Linked DNA regions of Schizosaccharomyces pombe. The gene in region 1 interacts genetically with each later gene. Each region holds a gene or a part of one and is shown in the gene's direction. Other genes may lie near its edges. The genes, in order: rga5 and etd1.

What was found.
Region 2: of rga5 (region 1) and etd1, a mutation in one rescues a mutant of the other (synthetic rescue), as found in Schizosaccharomyces pombe (one study listed by BioGRID).

The regions. Positions count from the first base shown.
Region 1 is NC_003423.3:2,484,810-2,488,991, forward strand, and holds rga5 (Rho-type GTPase-activating protein Rga5), read left to right. Parts: upstream 1-1,725; 5' UTR 1,726-1,997; coding exon 1,998-3,083; 3' UTR 3,084-3,400; downstream 3,401-4,182. Other genes in the region: SPOM_SPBC557.02C (uncharacterized protein), read right to left, coding at 3,516-4,127. UniProt on the Schizosaccharomyces pombe protein: GTPase-activating protein for Rho1. Has a role in the negative regulation of (1-3)beta-D-glucan synthase activity and cell integrity.
Region 2 is NC_003424.3:5,086,000-5,090,381, forward strand, and holds etd1 (Spg1-binding protein Etd1), read left to right. Parts: upstream 1-1,979; 5' UTR 1,980-2,089; coding exon 2,090-2,999; exon of another isoform or gene 3,000-3,061; coding exon 3,062-3,327; 3' UTR 3,328-3,639; downstream 3,640-4,382. Other genes in the region: translation initiation factor eIF4A Tif1, read left to right, coding at 1-742. UniProt on the Schizosaccharomyces pombe protein: Involved in septation.

The DNA.
Region 1 (4,182 bases):
TTATAGTAGTACCCAATGTCTTGTTTATATCCAAGGATATTTAAAGCCCATATTCGTAAACCAACTTTACATAATGCATACAATCATATAAGATCCTTCTCACAATCTACATTTTACGGATTGCAAAATTTCCACTATCTAAGCTTAAGAGCTGAAAGCTTCTCACCTTACAAATATGCTGATTTTCGTAGTAAATAATAAAATGAGATGACATTACTTATTTACTCGGTCGATTTTTGAGAATTTGCGTAAAATACTAATTTGTATCTTAAGATAAAGATACTAAGTTGATTATGTAAATCCGAGTATGCATGGTTGTCTGGTGTGTTACGTTTAGTATGCTATCCATTAGCTTGTACACTGTTCTCCAAACCATTTCATTTTTTTTATGAAATTACCAATTGGTTTGTAATAAGTTGCTTTTTAGTTAATTTAACGAGCATTACTGTTGCTGCTCATCTTGCATGGCTATCGTTTCGAACCGATCATATAAAATATTCGACGAAACAATCGCATAATAGGAGCTAGTCAAAGAAATTTTAAATTTTTGTACAATTTCTTGAGGGCAGCTTAGTTTTGTTTGATGGGATGACAAATCCCGGTATTTACAGACTTTCAATTCAATGAATTGATTTGATGCGTCCAATACCCACATCGCTATTTTAAAAGTGTAGTAAATAAAAATAATGTAATGTATATTATTAATTTATTATTACATTGCCGAGTAAAAAGGGAGTAAAACGAGAAATCAATTGAAGGATTTGTATTTTCTTTATTCTTTCGTTTACTAATTTTTGTAGCGATGACCTATTTTAAAGGTTAGATAAAGTAAGTCAACACGCTGAGCTTAATTGAGATTATCGGTGCGAGCGATCGATTGTAACAATCAATCGCAACAATCAAATGATAATGTATTAAGCAAAAAAAGGAAACTTGAAAGAAATATAGAAATGAGCGACCCTTAGCTCTTCGACCTGGGTGAACAAGAGTCGTTGTACATAATAAAAATATAACAAAAAAGAAAACCCCAGACAAATCACAGTTTCAAGCATATTATACAATCATAGAAATTTGCATTACTAAAAGAATTTCTCTTAAAAGATTAATTATCTAAACATTCCTGTATATCGAAAATCGTAGTTGTATGTACAGAGAGACATGGTACTTTTATTTATCAATAAAAACAGTATACCAACAACCAAGGGGAGGGCATTCTTCATTGTCAAAACTCGTCAGTTTGACTTGTAAGAATTCGCAATTCAAATATTTCCTAGGAACATGACTTTCAACTCGTCCTTTAATGAGCCCACTTTGCACTGCTAATCTGGGATGGGTGGTATCAGCACACTTCCTACTGACACTAACGCTAATGTGCCATGATCGTAAAATTGCAAAATCTTCGCTATCGCAAGCAGAATGTTTGTTTTCTCCGAAGTGTTAAGGAATGTATCGAATCGTATGGTAAAATCATTCCATCATCCAAAGGTCAGTATACGATATTGGCACGCTAATGCGTACAGGACAATGCTAAGCCTCTCTCTTTACGAGTTGCTCGCTTGAACGACTTATAAATTCCTTTAAATTAGTAACCAAGCGAGTAGTTTGGTATTTTATTAGAGGATTTGCCTTCCCCGAGCATCCTCGGAAGTACCGGCTGTGAAACTGCGACACCCACCTTGCAATAGCTAACTAGTACTTACCAACCCCGTAGTGTGAACCTGCTTTGTACACAATACAACAAATAATTCTAAAAGCGCAATTTATTAAGTTAAGTTTACCCATCTAGTGGAGAACAGTGTTATTTGAGTTGAACAGAATTGTTATTCAATTTTAAAGAGTGTCAATTTATCGGTTACTTTTTTTTTACACATCTACAATTCTTTCATTGTATTTGGGTTTAAATCTTTTGTCTGTTATCTCATTTTCCTCATTGAATTCTTTTTTTTATTGTTTTCATTTGTTAAGTTTTTCAATTTTTATTACAATAGCCATTGTTCATGACTGTTGTCGTAGGAGTCCTACAGATTGACGATATGGGGAAAAAGTCATCATTCGCTAGCTGGTGGAAGCAATTGCGGGTTAAAAAGTCAGATGACAATAAATTGTTTGGTCTGAGCCTTACAAGGGCTTTGGAAGTATCGAAGGTCGCTATCTTTCTGACACGCCGAGACGGTGAGAAAGTATTTTATGGCTACATTCCCGCTGTCGTTGCTAAGTGCGGGTTTTTTCTTAAACAAAATGCTACCCAAGTAAAGGGAATTTTTCGCGTTAATGGTTCTTCCAAACGAATCCAAATTCTCCAAAAAGCTTTCAGTACAGGCCCGGATTATGGCCGAAGTTTTGATTGGGAAGGATACACAGTTCATGATGCTGCCAATGTTTTTCGGAGATTCATCAATCTAATGCCAGAGCATGTGATTCCTTTGGAGTATTATGAAAGGTTTCGTGAACCCATGACAATTCCCAATCTTACAGACAATGAGCGAGTGGAAATGTATCGTCGACGCATTGATGAATTACCGATTCCAAATCGCCAGCTTTTACTTTATTTACTGGACTTACTTTCCGTTTTTGCGATGAACTCGTCGAAGAACCTGATGACTGCTGATAATTTGGCTGCTATTTTCCAACCTGGAATTCTATCTCATCCTGATCACGAGGTTTACTCAAAAGATTATCAAATATCGCAAACGGCTCTTTTGTTCCTTATCAATCATCAAGGAAGCTTTATCAAAACCATTCCTTTGTCTTCACTACCTCCTCTGGTAGCTGCGCCTACTTCTCCAAATACTTCTTCTACTTTAATTACGCAATCTGCTGCACCTACTCCTATAGCCTCGACATCCATTAGGATTAATTCTTTTAATCCAAGAAATGGATCCATTAAGCGTTGGCGCTCTTTTAGTCGTCATTCTAGTGCCACTTATTCCAATAGTCCGAGTTCAAATTTTTCAAACATGAAAAGCTCCGAGGTGGATCCTGGTTCACCCCCAAGAATCAAATCTCGTTCGTATTCATTGTCTAGAAGCTCATCTATGAAGCTTTTCCATACACTTGATCGCCGGAGGGAAAATCGTATGTAATACTTTTAATTGTTTTTCTCTGTTTATCTAGTTTAATTGTCTTTGTCCTTGGTTGTATGGCGAAGAATCTTTTTGTACATATATACTTAGTTGTTACCGTCCGCTCTTTTAGTTTTATTGGGATTTGCATTTAGGCTGGATACCGCTACTGTCGTTTTATGTTTTTTTCTTTGTATTCAGCCATTTTCATTTTAGAAGTTCTACTTAACCATAGTAAGAACAAATTATCCAATTCGTTATTGTTTTTTGTAATTGTTTTTTGTTTTGGTAGATCAATATATTTATCTACATAGTAAATTTATCTGACAGCTTTCAGCTACTTTCGTAATTTTAAATTTTTATTAATTTGGTGTCCATATATCTGTACAAAGAAACTTTTATGAAAACAACAACGACATTGTAACCAGAAAGGATTTATCAATCTATACTTTATTAGGCTCCAAGGAGATCCTGTAACAATTGTAAGAGGCGCTTCTGATCTTCAGATAACTCTTCATCATTATTCACTGACAAAAACAATGGTATCTTCAGGTCTGCAAGGATTGCAAGCTGTTCTTTGTACATCCTGTTTGTCAATTGTACCACTTGTTCATCAAATTCTTGTAAAGCCCTATTGTCATCTAAAGTTTGAGCGGAATCATTGTTGGTCTGGTCATTAAGACAATTGGACGGTTGTTTCAATTTAGGGTCGGAGGAAAGCGGTTTCAGTATTTCTTGAAGCTTAGTTTTCGACTCAAAATGTTGAACTAGCCGCTGCCGTTCCAGAGACCAGTTGCGCTCTTGACGTTCCTGCATAGCCTTCATCTTTCTTAATTTTTGTAACTTTTCGGGATGGCGGGAATTTAGGGCAAAGATGTACCTCAAGGCAGCGGGATAGGTTTTAATTTTTTCTGCGTCCTCTATAGAATTGTTCAACTCAAAATCAGAGGGTTTCCGAGCCTTCGATAGAGGGATGGATGATTTGTCTACATTTTCAAGCTGATTACTCGTTACGTTGGAGGAGCTTTGAAGCTCTTGAAGCAAATCTGCGATTTTTTTATCCATTTGGAAAACTCATGAATTTTGTATGCATCAAACACATTGATATTCAAAATAATTT
Region 2 (4,382 bases), on another chromosome or scaffold:
TCGTGTTCACGACATGATTCAACGTCGTGCTCTTCCTACCGATGCCGTCCAAATGTTTGTTCTTGATGAGGCTGATGAAATGTTGTCCCGTGGTTTCAAGGACCAAATTTACGACATTTTCCAACTTTTGCCTCCTACTGCTCAAGTTGTTCTTCTTTCTGCCACCATGCCTCAAGATGTTTTGGAAGTCACCACCAAATTTATGCGTGATCCCATTCGTATCCTTGTTAAGAAAGATGAGCTTACCTTGGAAGGTATCAAGCAATTCTATGTTGCCGTTGAAAAGGAAGAGTGGAAGCTTGACACTCTTTGCGATCTTTATGAAACCGTCACTGTTACTCAAGCCGTTATTTTCTGTAATACCCGTAGAAAGGTCGATTGGCTTACCGAGCAGCTCACTGAGCGTGATTTTACCGTCTCCTCCATGCACGGTGATATGGACCAAGCTCAACGTGATACTTTGATGCATGAGTTCCGTACTGGTTCTTCTCGTATTCTTATCACCACCGATCTTCTTGCTCGTGGTATCGATGTCCAACAAGTCTCCTTGGTTATCAACTATGACTTACCTGCTAACAGAGAAAACTACATTCACCGTATTGGTCGTGGTGGTCGTTTCGGTCGTAAGGGTGTTTCCATTAACTTTGTTACCAACGACGATGTTCGCATGATGCGTGAGATTGAACAATTCTACAATACACACATTGAGGAAATGCCTATGAACATTGCTGACTTGATTTAAAAAATACAAAAGTCCTTTCTTCTCTTTGTTCTAGATATGGAACGCTCCGTGATTGCTCTTCTCGCAACCCGGCAAACCTCCCGCAACTTAATTTATCTGCTTTTCTTTGCCCATGTTTTTAATGCTTCTTTTATCTGTGCCGGTTGATAGCTGCTCACCATATGGTTTTTTGTGAGTCGTGTTAGTGTTTGCTGAGAAAGGATTTTTTTTTTCGGCTACGCTGTTTATTCATTAGGTCACAAAATAAAAGGCTGGATTTGGTTGATTTACATATATTTACTCTTCTTTTGAGCCTCGTGTAGCTGTTCTGTGATTACTTTTATAAATGTGTTGTAGTTTGGTTAGAAGGTTTGTCGTTTTTTTGTTTTTTGGTAAAACTAAATGAGTGAATAGAGGATGTCAATCTGTATTTTGGATTGAACTTTTATTTACTGCGTATACCTTTGTGGAATTAATTTTTTTGCTCAGAGCTAACGTATTTGTGTTAACCGTAACTGTCCAGTCGTACTTTTGTAAGGAATTAGGAAGTTCCTTTTGCTAAAAGTTAAATGGTCTGTAGTAATAAACAATTCTGCTAGGTAAAAGTTATTATTAATCATTGATCCATTAACCTATTATATTCGCTATGTTTATATTAACTGTGAGATTAAAGGTTGCATCACTTTACGCTCTCAAAAACGTAGCTTTAAACTGCAAACATTATTTGACTAGTTTTAAAGAGTTTGACTTTTAAGTCAATGTAATGAAAGAAAAGAAGAAAACAATGTTTTCCCTGCATCAACAGAGTTAGTTGAAGAGTTTATCGTAAGCAAGTAAAGAAAGTTGAAAGGCGTATAGCAACTTTTGATGCTAACATTGTGCTCATGAACGAGCAGTGGCTTTGAATCTTTGTAGAGTCATTCATCTTTTCAGTTTTTGGCTAACTTATTTATTTTAAGTTGAACATTTTTAATGAATAAAACTTGTAATAGACAGTCTTTTCCATTTCCTAGTCTATCTCTGCTAGCATTCCATCTTTACAAAGCCCTATTTAACGTAACCACGATTAACGCGTTATAAAGTATTTATCAGAATTATATAGCGCTTAAACAACATAACGAATTGCGTTCTTTGATGTTATAGAACTTTGTATTTCCTTATAAATCATTTACAGATTCATGTTCAAAATTCGTTATGTCGTTCTCATGACGACCGTTTGTTTACTAACAAAAGCGTGGTCTTGACGAAAGTGCCTTCTACCATTATTTACACACTTGAATGGGTTGACGCGTACAGTCTTTTCTCTACGGCAATAATTCTTTCTTTAATTTAGCTTAAGAGAAATATAGATTTACGAGTATTTCGTCAATGGGAGTTGTATACGGCAGTCAACAAAATTTAAGTGAATATTTCTATTCTTCTGTCAATATGGCAGAGGTTCCAGATACTTTCGAAGAGAATAGGGGTCATTCTTTTGAAGGTGTGACTCTACAACGAAGGCATGTGAAAGGCATGAAAAGTTATGGTTCAGATATTACACCGAGGCGCCCTAAACAGCTTGGATTACCGAAAGAAGTTAACACCTCCGAATGCATAGATCAAGGCTCATGGAGGAAACCCTCAGCATTTGAAAGCTTAAGAAGTTACTCCCGAAAATTTTCTAAACGAATTTTTTCATTCATAGGAGTTGAGTCAAAAAGTACTGTACAACGCAACGCTTCAGGTGCAGACAGTACGTCGTTGTCTCACTTTACGGCGAATGAGATAAACAAAGGCAACTGTAAAAAAACTGCGTTAAGTAATGAATTTAATTCGGCCAATAAAGGGAGCAAGGCTAGTGGTGTAGGTGCTGAACTACCTTCAGTTAATGGATTTATTGAAGGTGAGCTTCATGATGATAATGAGACAGATTCCTTTCGGATAAATGAATTAGCTAAGCAAATCCAAGAAACTTCTTTGGGTGCGACTACGCAAGAAGATGAGAGTTCGGATGGTATTTGCTGGGACGAGTTATCGACTACTTCGCCAGAGTCGTCGAAAGTGTCGGAACCTATCATTCAAGACAATACGCAAACGACTCATATAAATAACGATTCATCGGATATTCGATTTTCATCTCGTTGCGATTTATTTGCGGACGATGCGGATTCAGATTGGGAGCAGGACTTTAATGTGAAATTCGATAGTCCATTGATAATTCCCGAAACGGTAAACAGTGCAGGACACACCGTTCGAGAACAGCTTTTTGAGGTGAAGGAATTTACGAGATCCATCAAAGGTAAGACATTCATGTGTTGTAATGCTTTAGTTTTAACCGCTGCTAACTAAAAACACAAATAGACTTAAAAGATCTTTACGAAAAGGCAAATTCCAAAGATATTTACGACAAGGACTCAGAGATTTTAGGAGAGGCTAAGGCTATTCTACGGTTAGCGGATCCTGCAAATTATTCTGATTTAAAGGATGAGGACGCGCAAAACATTTTATCAAAATATAAAGTTAAGTTGGAAGGGGATTCTTCATTAGATTTCGATGCGTCCATGCTACCAGGGCTAAACGATCATGTGCATTATTTAATGTCCCAACTCCAACTATTATTACACTGAGTTTCTCTTTTTGGCTATTTAATCCATTAATGGAATGGGAAGTATCTATTTTGTTATCCAAAGTGTCAAAATTTCGCTTAGGATAATTTCAATAATTGTGAGAACAGTTTCGCATTGGTGGATAGCAAGTAAAGGTGAAACTGGCCATTACAACCTTTTTATACTTCTGCATCTTAAGAAGCTTTTGGTTTTATTGTAAATTTCTTTCGTTTTCTCTTTTTAATAAATCTATTTTGCAATAATATTTCGGAAAAAGTACTAGACAGATGTTTTGTCTTTTGTGAATATTAGTCCAACCTTTATTCTGTGATAAAAAGATTTTATTAAATTAAAGTAAAAGAATGTAAATCAAAAATACCTGAAAACCCATATCTATGATTTTGCTATTTAGTGAGAAATTCCTCATTGCACTGAAAATCCTTAAAACTAGTACCCCACTTCATACTATACTACGGGGTTAGACCACAATTAGTTGTTTATCCTTTGCACACCGCAAACCTATAAATTTTCTTTTTGTCAATTCCACATATTCTACAAGGAGGATTGACTTTTTAGTTCACTGATTATTGCTCTTTCAACAATTTATACGCGGTAGTTTTACTGCTCTTCGGCTCGTATAATTTTTTTACACAACACTTTTATCGATTTTTTAAGCCGAATTTCTACATTTAATATTTTATCATTTTTTTCTGCTCATTAATATTTACCGTATCTTTTCGAAAACCCATTGCTTTGGATGTGTGTGTGTGTCTCTCTCTCTACGTTCCTCAATTTGACTGCATTACTTTAATATACTTACAACCTGAATTCTGTTCGGTTGGTAATTCCTGCAATCGTTATTTGTCTTTGTCAACTTCGGATTTTTTATTTTTACATATAACAGTAGTTGCATTGACTTCGCTGCACAATTCCTTACACTGAGTTGGCATTCCTTGCATCTGTAAACCACTTTTTCATTACCCACTCCCATTTTTGACTTCAGTAAACAATTATTCTACTACTACTTGCCACTATTCCAAACTTATCTGTTTCCCGTTTTGGGTTTAAATTTGGGT